3 linked regions of the Callithrix jacchus genome follow. Each later gene encodes a partner of the first gene's protein in a complex. Links are inferred from orthologs where the notes say so. Each region holds a gene or a part of one and is shown in the gene's direction. Other genes may lie near its edges. The genes, in order: UBE2E2, DET1 and RLIM.

Region 1 (3,649 bases):
ACACAACTGAAACTCTCAGCATAGTTTATTAAATCTTACTTTATTAAACTGAAGCTGCAGCCTCAGTGTAGAGAATATTATTTCATTGAGGTTCCCATATATTTGTCATGTAATGGATTGCTTGTGGTTTAAAATGTATAAAATGATGTCTCATTTCACAATTCTTAAGGTATTGCTGGCAGCATTTTGCTGTATCTGAGCACCTTTCCCTGAGTATTGTTCTCTTTTTCACTCCCATGCATGCCACCCTATCTGATATGCTATTATGTACATACTTTCAAGGTTTCAAACATCTGATAAAATTTAACTGAAAGAAGTAAGGTGAAAGAAAAACAATGTTAAATCCAAGAATAAGAATTTAGAGTGAAATAAAACTGAAAAAAAGCAAGAAATATGTTACGATTTTTAGAGCTAGCGGTGAAACATACTGATATAAAATTTCAGCATTCTATTAAGTGACTTTAGTGCTCATAAAAGATGTCACAGCTGTAGAGACTGATGCTCTTCATTTACAGAATAGGTAGAAAAGTAGTCAGCTTTTCCGTTAGTGTGTTTCAGAACTGTTGGGGCAGACCTGTTTTTGTTTGGCATGGGGAGCTGTTGTAGTTGAAGGGGTGCTGGTGGTGGTGTATGTGGTGTGTCAGTGAAAGCATTCACTGTTTTCTTTTGACTCTTTGCCTCTCTATGCTTCCTGATGCTTCCATTCTTTTCATTGCTTTCTGATTTGTCTTATAAAAATTTCAATCCATTAAAGATCCATGTTACAACATTGCTTTTGCTTAGAGCAAGCTACAAGTTAAATCTTTGTTAATGATGAATTTTAATTAGTGTCAAATAGCTATCTATTTGGACTAAATTATAGTAATTAAAATTTTTGCTTTATTTGAAGTATTTTTATGTATTCTTATTCTTGATCATATCAGAAACAGTTTTATTTGAACTTCTAATTTGATTAATCAAAAGAATCCATTTCAAAAGGAATTTGTTCAGTGTACCTATAATTTTTAAAGGTGTATTTTGTGTTAATGGTACTTGTTAAGCATAGGTAGTTTTGTTTTCAAAGAGGTGTCTGAGAAGGTAGCTATACAGTGCTCAAAGTGATTATTAGGTGATAAACCGTGGTAAGCACAAGGCCTTTTAGAGTCTGGACATAGGTTTTGTTGGTTCCGTTCTGGATTTGTCAGAATACTCTAAGCTAGTTAGCTCATAAGGGATGTATTCATAGTAATCAAACTCAGAAATTGATTATGATAGAATGGCAGTTGAGAAGAGATATTCCTTTTCACTTACAGGAATTGTGTCTGCTGTCTAGGTTATAACAGCTACCTAAATATCAAGGTATTTCGGAAATTGAGTTGGTAATCAGAGCTGCTCGGGGAGCATGAACTCAGAGGAGAGGGAATTTGAAAGCCTTGAGGAATATTTTAACCGGACTGTGAAAAAAAAAATTCTTCAGCGTCTCCATCTCTTATGAAAAATGGTTGCTTTAGTATACAGCTGAATCAATGCTGACACCATCATACGGTTCAGTTTTTATTTAGAATCATGCAGTCATGTAGACCTTTGTGTTCATCTGTTATTGCAAAGGTCACTTAAAATAATTTACTAGTTTGGAGAATTTTAACCATAACCCAGTGCTGAGGATGTACTGATTTGAATAGGGATTTTTAAGTGTCCACCCATTTTTCTGTTCCCACAGCTTTTTGTACAAACCTTCGTTTTAGTACTTAGCAAGTTGACTGGGCCAGGTTTTTCATAGTTGTAGGACCAAAGGGCTTAGCACAGCACCAGGTAGAGAGTAGACCCTTAATCATTTTTTTCCTATTTTTTATAACAGCATTATTATATGTAATTCATATACCATAAAATTTACCCTTTAAAAATGTAAAACTCTGTAGTTCTTAGAATATTTACAATTAGAATCATGCAATGTTACCATTATCTAATTTAAGAACATTTATATCACCCCAAAGGGAAGTATCATACCCATTAGCAGTCAATCCTCACTACTCTCCCTCCCCTCACTCCCTGGCAACCACTTACCCTCTTTATTTTTTTTATTAATTTTGTTTCCTTTGATACAGGGTATTACTCTGTCACTCAGGCTGGAATGCAGTGATAGTAATCTTTTTTTTTTTTTTTTGGTAGAGATTGAGTCCCACTATGTTGCCCAGGCTGTTCCTGCCTGGGCTTCCCAAAGCATTGGGGATTACAGGCATGAGATCTGCTTACTGAATTTTGTGTTTATGGATTTGCCTAGTCTGGACGTTTCATATAAATAGTCAAACAGTTTGTGGTCCTTTGTGGCTGGCTTCTTTCACTTACGATAATGTTTCAAGGTTCATCCATTTTGTAGCACGTAGACACTGTACTTCATTCTTTTTTATGGCTAATAGTACATTATGTGGATATACTACTACATTTTGTTTATCCATTCATCCCTTAGTGGATATTTGAGTTGTTTCCAATTTTGGTTATTATGAATAATGTCGCTGTGAACATTTCATGTATAAATTTTGTATGCTTTCATTTTACAATATACTTTGAATGGATGAAAGAAAAGTTATAGCAACTCTCAAAACTGCATTGTTTTGTAAATGACCAATTTATCCATTTTATATTGAGATTTACTTGTTTTCTTTGAGGCTCATTCTGTGTGTCATGGAAGTAGCGTACTGTAATTCTCCTCACAGCGGAATAAATGATTTTTGATTCTTTAATCTAGGATCTAAAATGTCCACTGAGGCACAAAGAGTTGATGACAGTCCAAGCACTAGTGGAGGAAGTTCCGATGGAGATCAACGTGAAAGTGTTCAGCAAGAACCAGAAAGAGAACAAGTTCAGCCCAAGAAAAAGGAGGGAAAAATATCCAGCAAAACCGCTGCTAAGTTGTCAACTAGTGCTAAAAGGTACCTCAGTTATTGTAACCTTTTTATTTTTGGTATCAGTTTATCATCTTAAGTTCTACTTTTCTTTTGCATTTAATCATTTTTTCCGGGATATTTAAGCCATGAACTTCATGGATTTTTCTTTCCCCTTACAGACGATCTTTTTTACATGGTTTTAACCATAGGGAACTTAAGTATTTAAAGTCAGTTAAATGGCATGGCAGATTCATAAAATACATATCCATAGTATGTTTGTGTTTTTGTGTATCATTAAGGAAGCATATACAGGATGTGCATGTAAAATTGCAGTGGTTTCATTTACAGTTACTTGACCATAAATTTTTTTTTCCTGTTCAGTAACACAGAATAGAGATTAAGAATCTATTGAAGTAGTTATTGAGTGAATGATAGTTTATTTTCCACTACTCTCAGTTGGTAAAGTCAGAAATGCTGACATTAGCAACAAGTGCATCTTGGTTTCATTACATTAGTCAGTGGGTCTGTCTTGATACACAGTTTCTCTTTCTCTAGAGGAATAGATGGATCTGGAAAGTAGGTATTTGAATGATTTTCTGTTGGTACATCAGTCTCTTAAGATAATTGACATGTCATTGGACTTAAAGGGAATCTGTTTTGATATTGTTACATTATAGAATATCTCTTGGAAAATAATTTGAAAGATAAATATAGTGTCTTTCCTGATTCTGTGATTTTATGTTCTTGCTTTGTTATTGTATGTTTTATATTGATCGAATAGGAAG
Region 2 (4,165 bases), on another chromosome or scaffold:
TAAAAATACAAAAAATTAGCTGGGCATAGTGGTGTGCACCTGTAGTCCCAGCTACTCGGAAGGCTGAGGCAGGAGAATTGCTTGAATCCAGGAGGCGGAGGTTGCGGTGAGCTCGCACCATTGCACTCCAGCCTGGGTAACAAGAGCGAAACTCTGTCTCAAAAAAAAAAAAAAGTACAATTCAGACGGTTTGAGTATATTAACAGACATGTGTAACCATTGCCATTATCTACTTCTGTATATTTTTATTACCCCAAAAAGAAACCCCATACCCACAAGCAATAACTCCTAATTCTCCTTTTCACTTACCCCCAGCAACTACTCATCTACTTTCTGTCTCTAGAGATTTGCCTATCTTGGATGTTTCATGTAAGTGGAGCAATATAACATGTGACCTCTTGTGTCTGGCTTCTTTCGCTTAGCAGAATGTTTTCAAGGTTCCTCATGCTGTGGCAAGTATCGGTACTTCATCCTCTTTTAATGCTGAACAATATCTATTGTATGAATATACAGCCTTTTGTTTATCCATTCATCTACTGATGGACACTTAGGTTGTTTACATATTTTATCTAGTATAAATAATACTGCTATGAACACTTGTGTTCAAGTTTTGGTGTGGACACGTTTTAATTTCTCTTGGTTATATACCTAGAGGTATTTCTGTGTCAAATAGTAACTTCATGTTTAACTTTGAGAAACGGCTAAACTGTTTTCCACAGTAACTGCACCCTTCCCAGAAGCAGCATATGAGGCTTTTGATTTCTCTACATCCTTACCAGTATGTGATGTTTTTCTTTTAAAGGTATTCTAGCCATCCTAAGGGGTACAAAGTAGTATCTCACTGTGGTTTTGATTTGCATTTCTCTGATAACTAATGATGTTGAAGATCTTTTTGTTATAAAAACAGGAGCCTAGGAGAGCCAGAGTGACACCATTTAAAAATCCACTCCATCTGAACACTAGCAAGGCACATTCCTTGCTAGTCAGAGATGATCAATACAATCTCAGTCTTCAAGGGGCTCACTATCTAGAAGATAACATAGTAGGTAGTTTCTCAGCATCTAATCAAAAGGTGAAAGATTAATTCTATTCATATATTTCAAATGTGCTCTGCAGGCACAGAGACACTGTTGTTGGAACTGTCAGAGATGCCCAGGTTAGGTACTACGTTAATTTTTCTTCCGCTGCCACTAAGCCTCTATGGCTTCGATCCCTCCTCCAGGCACCAGGGTGCGCTGTACACGTCTCTTAGTGTTGGCTGAACAGTGCTGCGCTCTCTTCTACTTCCCTCCTTGCTGGGCTGCACTTCCGGTGGCTGGCGGAAATGGGAACCTGCAGCCCGGCGCTGGGGTCCTGAGGCATGGCGGGGGCGGGGCAGGGGGAGGCGCGCACGGAACAGGCTGGGGCATCCTTCTCCTTGGCTCTTTGAGCCTGGACAAGACAGGTGAGGACTTACCATTTTTGGCCCAGCCTCCACGCCCATCAGACCCTCCCCAGCAGGCTCCTCCCCGCATGACGCCGATACTTAGAGGCCCGCAGCCCCCACCCTCCCTCAGAATTCTCTTCCCATTGAGGCCCCGCCCCGGGCTTTTCTTTCCGGGGGCGCCCCTTTGGGCATGTATGCCCGCCCCTTGGCATCCCCTTCTCGTTTTAGAGGCGGTCGCTAGGAATTGAGGGACATACACACCTTCCCCCGTAGGCAAACTGAGGCCCAGCAAAGGAAATGGACTAAGTACCACACAGTGAGTTAGAGTCCCAATTCAGTCAGGCTTTCTGAACTGGTACCAAACGCCAGCGGTGTGCCAGCCCCAGTGCCAGGCTCTGAGAATACCGGGTGACCTGGTTACCTCTTGTCTGCAGAGTACAGGTTAGCAAGGGAATCAGATTAAACACAACCATGCAAATGAAAGTATAAATACAACTTGCGACGATTACTATGGAGAAGACAAAGTATAATAATAATGGCGAGTCCTGTTGAAGTATTGGATGCGAGACTGAAATAACCAAGACAAAAGTATGCCAAATTGCAGGCTCTTTATTGCCAGCGACCACGGAGGACTCACGTCTCTCCAACCCGTGGCCCCGAACTCAGGGGGATCAGGGTATATAAGCTGAAAAACCACATAGTGGATGCAGGGCAAGCAACTTTACAGTAACTACTGATAAGCAAAGGCCAGGCAGTTACTGTTAAGACAAAGGCAAGCAGTGTACGTTCTTTAGAGCAAGCTAGCAGTTTTGTTTACAGAAGCCAAGGTCAGCAGTTATTGCAAGAAGAATGGGACAGTACAACTTATTTTTGGAAAAAACAGCTTTGTCTTATAAAATGACATTGCTCAGGCTCTAACTCAAGGCCCGCTATAGCACATTCTTCCCCCCTGTTCTTTTAACATGTATTAAATCTTTAATAGTTTTTCTCTTTTTGGATCCCTTTTCAATTAAGGAACTAACATACCCTCCAGTGGATCTTTTAGTAAGGACCCACCAGTAATAGGTGGGAGTCAAGCCCCTCTCCGAGGGGGCTACACCAGGAATCAGGGGGACAAGGAAGGTTACTGCGAGGAGTGCGAAAGTTTTAGCTTTAGGTGGCCTGCTGAAGCTGAGGTCACTCCATTGTGTGTCCAGGGGGGGCAGTCTTGACATGTGCATGGTAGATCCAGGCAGTCTGTCCACCTTGATTGCCATGGGAGTGATCAGGATCACGGTGTAGGGTCCTTTCCAGCGAGGAGTTAGGCCAGATGTGGTGAATCTCTTTACCAGGACTTTGTCCCTGGGCTGGAAGGGGTGGAGTGGCTGGTCAGTGAGGTCCACTGGGGTAGGTTGAATTTCCCTGATGAGTGGGTACACCTGGGACTGAACAGACTGGAGTGCCTGCAAGGACTTAAGGAGTGTATGATTATGGACTTCAGCATGTATGGTGTCAGCAAGTTTGGGGAGTAAGGAAGGGGGCCTTCCAAACATAATTTCAAAAGGAGTGAAGCCTTTTTTATAGGGAGTACATCGGGTACGGAGGAGAACAAAAGGAAGCAGGTTAACCCAGTTTTCACTGGTCTCTAGAATGAATTTTGTTAAAGTCTACTTTATGGTCCGGTTCATCTTTTCAACCTGCCCTGAACTCTGGGGGCGATAGGCACAATGTAGTTTCCAGGATATGCCCAGGGCTTTGGCCAGGCCCTGAGAAACCTGTGCTGTAAACGCAGGGCCATTATCTGATCCCAGTGTCAGGGGCAAGCTGAACTGAGGAACCAGGTCCTGTAACAGTCTTTTGGTTACTACCAGTGCAGTTTCTGACCGAGTAGGAAAAGCCTCGACCCATCCAGGGAAAGTGTCTACAAACACAAGGAAGTATTTATAGCCACATGCTGGGGGCTTTATTTCAGTAAAATTTACCTCCCAGTGTTTCCCTGGGCTAGTACCCCTAAGTCTTATCTCTGCCTGACTAGACTTACTGCCTCCTGGGTTTACCCTGGCACACACATCACATCAAGTAATAGTTTCCCTAACAATTTCATGTAAATGTGGAATGCAGTATCTGGCCCTCAGTAGCTCAGTGAGTTTTGTTTGTCCTAAGTGTGTGGCCTGGTGTGTGTCCTTAACTAGAGTCCACCCTAGAGCCTCTGGGAGCACAATCCTCGTGTCCAGTAGAGTCTACCATCCTGTGGAATCTTGTCATCCCTCTTGTTCTTTAGCAAAGTTTTCTTCATCAGGTGAGTACATAGGGGTAGGGGGCAGGGTTGGGGCCGGCAGAGTCACAAGAAGAGTCAGAGGTTTTACTGGCCCCAAGGCTGCCTGTCTGGCTTGCAGGTCAGCTGCTCTATTTCCCCTTGCCTCTGGTGAATCTCCCTTTTGGTGTCCTTTGCAGTGTGTTAATGCCACTGCCTTGGGCTTCCATATAGCCTCTAGTAGGGCTAGGATTTCCTCTTTGCTTTTGATGACTTTTCTTTCTGAGGTAAGCAGCCCTCTTTCTTTATAAATGGCTCCGTGTACATGGGCCATAGCAAAGGCATATCGGCTATCAGTGTAGATGTTGACAGTTTTTCCCTCTGCCCAGTCCAAGGCATTTGTTAGAGCTATGAGTTCTGCCTTTTGGGCTGAGGTCCTGTGTGGGAGAGCCTGGGCCCAGATAACCCGCTCTAGGGTGACTACAGCTGCCTCGGCATACTTGTCT
Region 3 (3,649 bases), on another chromosome or scaffold:
CTTTTTTATAAATGTGAACTTTTTCACCAGCAAAAAAAAAAAAGTTGTCTAAACCCAGTGGTTCCTAATGAGATGTAATTTTGCCCCATATGGGACATTGGCAACGTCCAGAGACACTTTTGGTTGACACAACTGGGAATCTGCCACAGGCGTCTAGTGTGTAGAGGGCAGAAATGCTGCCAAACATCCTGACGTGCCTTAATGCACAACGTAGCCCCATGACAAAGAATTAACTGGCTTGAAATGTCAGTAGTGCCACTGTTGAGAAATCCTGCTCTAACCTCAGGTCTGGTGTTTCCCTCCCAGTGTCAAGTAGGGATTTTGATTGTGTAACTTCAGAGGCTACGATAATAATTTGGTTCTTGAACATGCCATTATATATGCTATCCAAAGTGCAGACTACTTATTTGATCTGATATTTAATATCATGTCCATTGAAAATCTTGGTAATACTAAGAAATATTCAAGTGCTTTTAAACCTGTAAATTTTGTTTATATTTTTGCTGTGGCTACAATAGTCCTGTATTTTGAAACAACCTCAAGTGTTATCAAAGACACATAAGTCAAAAGCCTAGAAGTAATGAAAACTTGACAAAAATGTAGCTTGAACTAAATATGACTGTTTGTTAACCACTGTTTCCTTACCTAGTTTGATTACATTAGTGTTTTGGCAGAGGGCTGAAAAAATGTCTTCTGACCATCCCACAGTGGTATGCTTAGCTCTGTATATGATAAAATACTGAAAATAGACATCCTCCAGATTCCCTTTAAAAATCAAATAATTCTCTAAATTTCTCTACTATAGTTTGCTTTTTTCAAATGGAATTAGAATATTTTTGCCAAATAAGTATAAATTTGAGCAGTGTAGTTTGTAAAAATCCGTAATTGTGAAATGTGTTCAGAATTTTTAAGGTCTTTAATGCAGAGTTTCAGAGCACTTATTATATGATTGTCCTCATTTTAGTAGTTCCTTTTTCTCCCTCTCCCCCTCCTTTCTTTTGAACAGGAGGAGACTCTTCAGATGATGTGTCTAATGGTGACTCTATAATAGACTGGCTTAACTCTGTCAGACAAACTGGAAATACAACAAGAAGTGGGCAAAGAGGAAACCAATCGTGGAGAGCAGTGAGCCGGACTAATCCAAACAGTGGTGATTTCAGATTCAGTTTAGAGATAAATGTTAACCGTAATAATGGGAGCCAAAATTCAGAGAATGAAAATGAGCCATCTGCAAGACGTTCTAGTGGAGAAAATGTGGAAAACAACAGCCAAAGGCAAGTGGAAAACCCACGATCTGAACCAACATCTGCAAGGCCATCTAGATCAGAACGAAATTCAACTGAAACATTAACAGAAGTCCCACCTACCAGAGGTCAGAGGAGGGCAAGAAGCAGGAGCCCAGACCATCGGAGAACCAGAGCAAGAGCTGAGAGAAGTAGGTCACCTCTGCATCCGATGAGTGAAATTCCACGAAGATCTCATCATAGTATCTCATCTCAGACTTTTGAACATCCATTGGTAAACGAGACAGAGGGAAGTTCTAGAACCCGGCACCATGTGACATTGAGACAGCAAATATCTGGGCCTGAGTTGCTAAGTAGAGGTCTTTTTGCAGCTTCTGGAACAAGAAATCCCTCTCAAGGAGCAGGTTCTTCAGACACAGCTGCCAGTGGTGAATCTACGGGATCAGGACAGAGACCGCCAACCATAGTCCTTGATCTTCAAGTAAGAAGAGTTCGTCCTGGAGAATATCGGCAGAGAGATAGCATAGCCAGCAGAACTCGGTCTAGGTCTCAGACGCCAAACAATACTGTCACTTATGAAAGTGAACGAGGAGGTTTTAGGCGTACATTTTCACGTTCTGAGCGGGCAGGTGTGAGAACCTATGTCAGTACCATCAGAATTCCTATCCGTAGAATCTTAAATACTGGTTTAAGTGAGACTACATCTGTTGCAATTCAGACCATGTTAAGGCAGATAATGACAGGTTTTGGTGAGTTAAGCTATTTTATGTACAGTGATAGTGACTCAGAGCCTAGTGGCTCAGTCCCAAATCGAAATACAGAAAGGTCAGAGTCACGGAGTGGGAGAGGGGGTTCTGGTGGTGGTAGTAGTTCTGGTTCCAGTTCAAGTTCCAGTTCCAGTTCAAGTTCCAGTTCAAGTTCTAGTCCTAGTTCCAGTTCCAGTGGTGAAAGTTCAGAAACTAGCTCAGATTTATTTGAAGGCAGTAATGAAGGAAGCTCATCATCAGGCTCATCAGGTGCCAGGCGAGAGGGTCGACATAGGGCCCCCGTCACATTTGATGAAAGTGGCTCTTTGCCCTTCCTTAGCTTGGCTCAGTTTTTCCTCTTAAATGAGGATGATGATGACCAACCTAGAGGACTCACCAAAGAACAGATTGACAACTTGGCAATGAGAAGTTTTGGTGAAAATGATGCATTAAAAACCTGTAGTGTTTGCATTACAGAATATACAGAAGGCAACAAACTTCGTAAACTACCTTGTTCCCATGAGTACCATGTCCACTGCATCGATCGCTGGTTATCTGAGAATTCTACCTGTCCTATTTGTCGCAGAGCAGTCTTAGCTTCTGGTAACAGAGAAAGTGTTGTGTAATTAAGATCTGAACTCTCAGCTATGTAGCTGATATAGTGATGGGCAAACAGGAATCACTTGCTTTTATGTCCACTTTTTGAGTGGTACTTAAATGTAAAGTAACAACCTGAATTGAGTCATTGCTTTCTGAAGGAATCGTTGTCCTTTCTCCAGTTTTTGTTCCAGAATAAAAGGAATATTTAAAGGAAATATTTTAAAAGCCACGTTTTAGGACCTAAAAATCTGATTTCCATACCAGTTAAATTGGTAACATCACTGTTACTGATAATTTATCATTATACTTGTTAATTTTTCCTTTGTTATCTTAAAAAAATCTGCCTTAGCAATGGCTCCTATCTGTTTCATGTTGATCTTTAAATTTTTCCACGCCATAGGAGAGAAGGGTGAAGGAAATTACCAGTTTAGACTAAGTTACAGTATGTGTCTCATAAGTAATTAAAGCTATACCATTCCCGGTTATTAGTTGACACAAATTCAGCGGCATTCTGAATATTGTTTGTTCACCTTTCAGAGTTGGTGATACTGGACATGTCAGTGTAAATAACACTAAGGTTAGGATCTAAGTGTATAACTGTCTCCTAAGCCCATCACTGTGGCACACTGTAGAGTGAGCTTATAGTTTAATTGAGATATTTATCTTGTGGAAATATTAAAAAGCCTATGCTTGTGTAAGTGAAAAAAATCACATTCATTTGTTTAAAAATGTAAAGCTATTTTGTAGAGGCTCAGTACTTTTTTCCAATGCACTGTTGTATGATTGCATTAAAAATTGTAAAGTACCATGCTTAGAACTGAGGAAACTGCTTTTTGTGAGCCAACATAGTAACAAACACACCAAACAAAGTACAAAGCTGCTTTTGTAAGTGTGTAGATGTCAAGAGCAGAACATATCTATAATATTTAATGTATGTGAACAGCTACTGTGACATGCAAAGGATAGGACAGTGCAGAATCAAAGTGCATTGAAGACCATTGGAAACTGTATAATTTAACTTGGATTTAGGCAAGAAGTGAAAGATGGGAGGAGTAAAGA

What was found.
Region 2: the proteins of UBE2E2 (region 1) and DET1 are in contact, whole or in part, in a cryo-EM structure (PDB 9BJZ), measured with the Homo sapiens proteins. The link is inferred for Callithrix jacchus from reciprocal best matches to the Homo sapiens genes UBE2E2 and DET1. Residues at the interface, in NP_001357154.1 of Homo sapiens: Ala77, Gly78, Pro79, Lys80, Gly81, Arg88, Ser89, Thr90, Gly101, Val103, Phe105, Phe123, Arg124, Thr125, Arg126, Ser134, Gln135, Gly136, Gln194, Trp195, Arg198, Tyr199, Ala200, Thr201; in NP_001137546.1 of Homo sapiens: Arg258, Phe259, Tyr261, Asp264, Thr267, Val268, Phe272, Glu274, Asp289, Pro290, Phe291, Ile292, His297, Arg298, Leu300, Val301, Trp304, Arg305, Phe319, Phe320, Gln321, Phe323, Asp324, Arg327.
Region 3: the proteins of UBE2E2 (region 1) and RLIM are in contact, whole or in part, in a crystal structure (PDB 6W9A), measured with the Homo sapiens proteins. The link is inferred for Callithrix jacchus from reciprocal best matches to the Homo sapiens genes UBE2E2 and RLIM. Residues at the interface, in NP_001357154.1 of Homo sapiens: Lys52, Thr55, Lys58, Arg59, Lys62, Pro112, Asp113, Pro115, Phe116, Ile142, Asn146, Trp147, Ser148, Pro149, Ala150, Leu151, Thr152; in NP_057204.2 of Homo sapiens: Ser571, Val572, Cys573, Ile574, Thr575, Cys596, Arg599, Trp600, Pro608, Ile609, Arg611.

The regions. Positions count from the first base shown.
Region 1 is NC_133518.1:61,544,542-61,548,190, forward strand, and holds part of UBE2E2 (ubiquitin-conjugating enzyme E2 E2), read left to right. Parts: intron 1-2,725; 5' UTR 2,726-2,733; coding exon 2,734-2,909; intron 2,910-3,649.
Region 2 is NC_133507.1:17,793,072-17,797,236, reverse strand, and holds the start of DET1 (DET1 homolog), read left to right. Parts: upstream 1-1,302; 5' UTR 1,303-1,444; intron 1,445-1,647; exon of another isoform or gene 1,648-1,742; intron 1,743-3,597; exon of another isoform or gene 3,598-3,704; intron 3,705-4,165. UniProt on the Homo sapiens protein: Component of the E3 ubiquitin ligase DCX DET1-COP1 complex, which is required for ubiquitination and subsequent degradation of target proteins. The complex is involved in JUN ubiquitination and degradation.
Region 3 is NC_133524.1:72,260,036-72,263,684, reverse strand, and holds part of RLIM (E3 ubiquitin-protein ligase RLIM), read left to right. Parts: intron 1-1,006; coding exon 1,007-2,616; 3' UTR 2,617-3,649. UniProt on the Homo sapiens protein: E3 ubiquitin-protein ligase.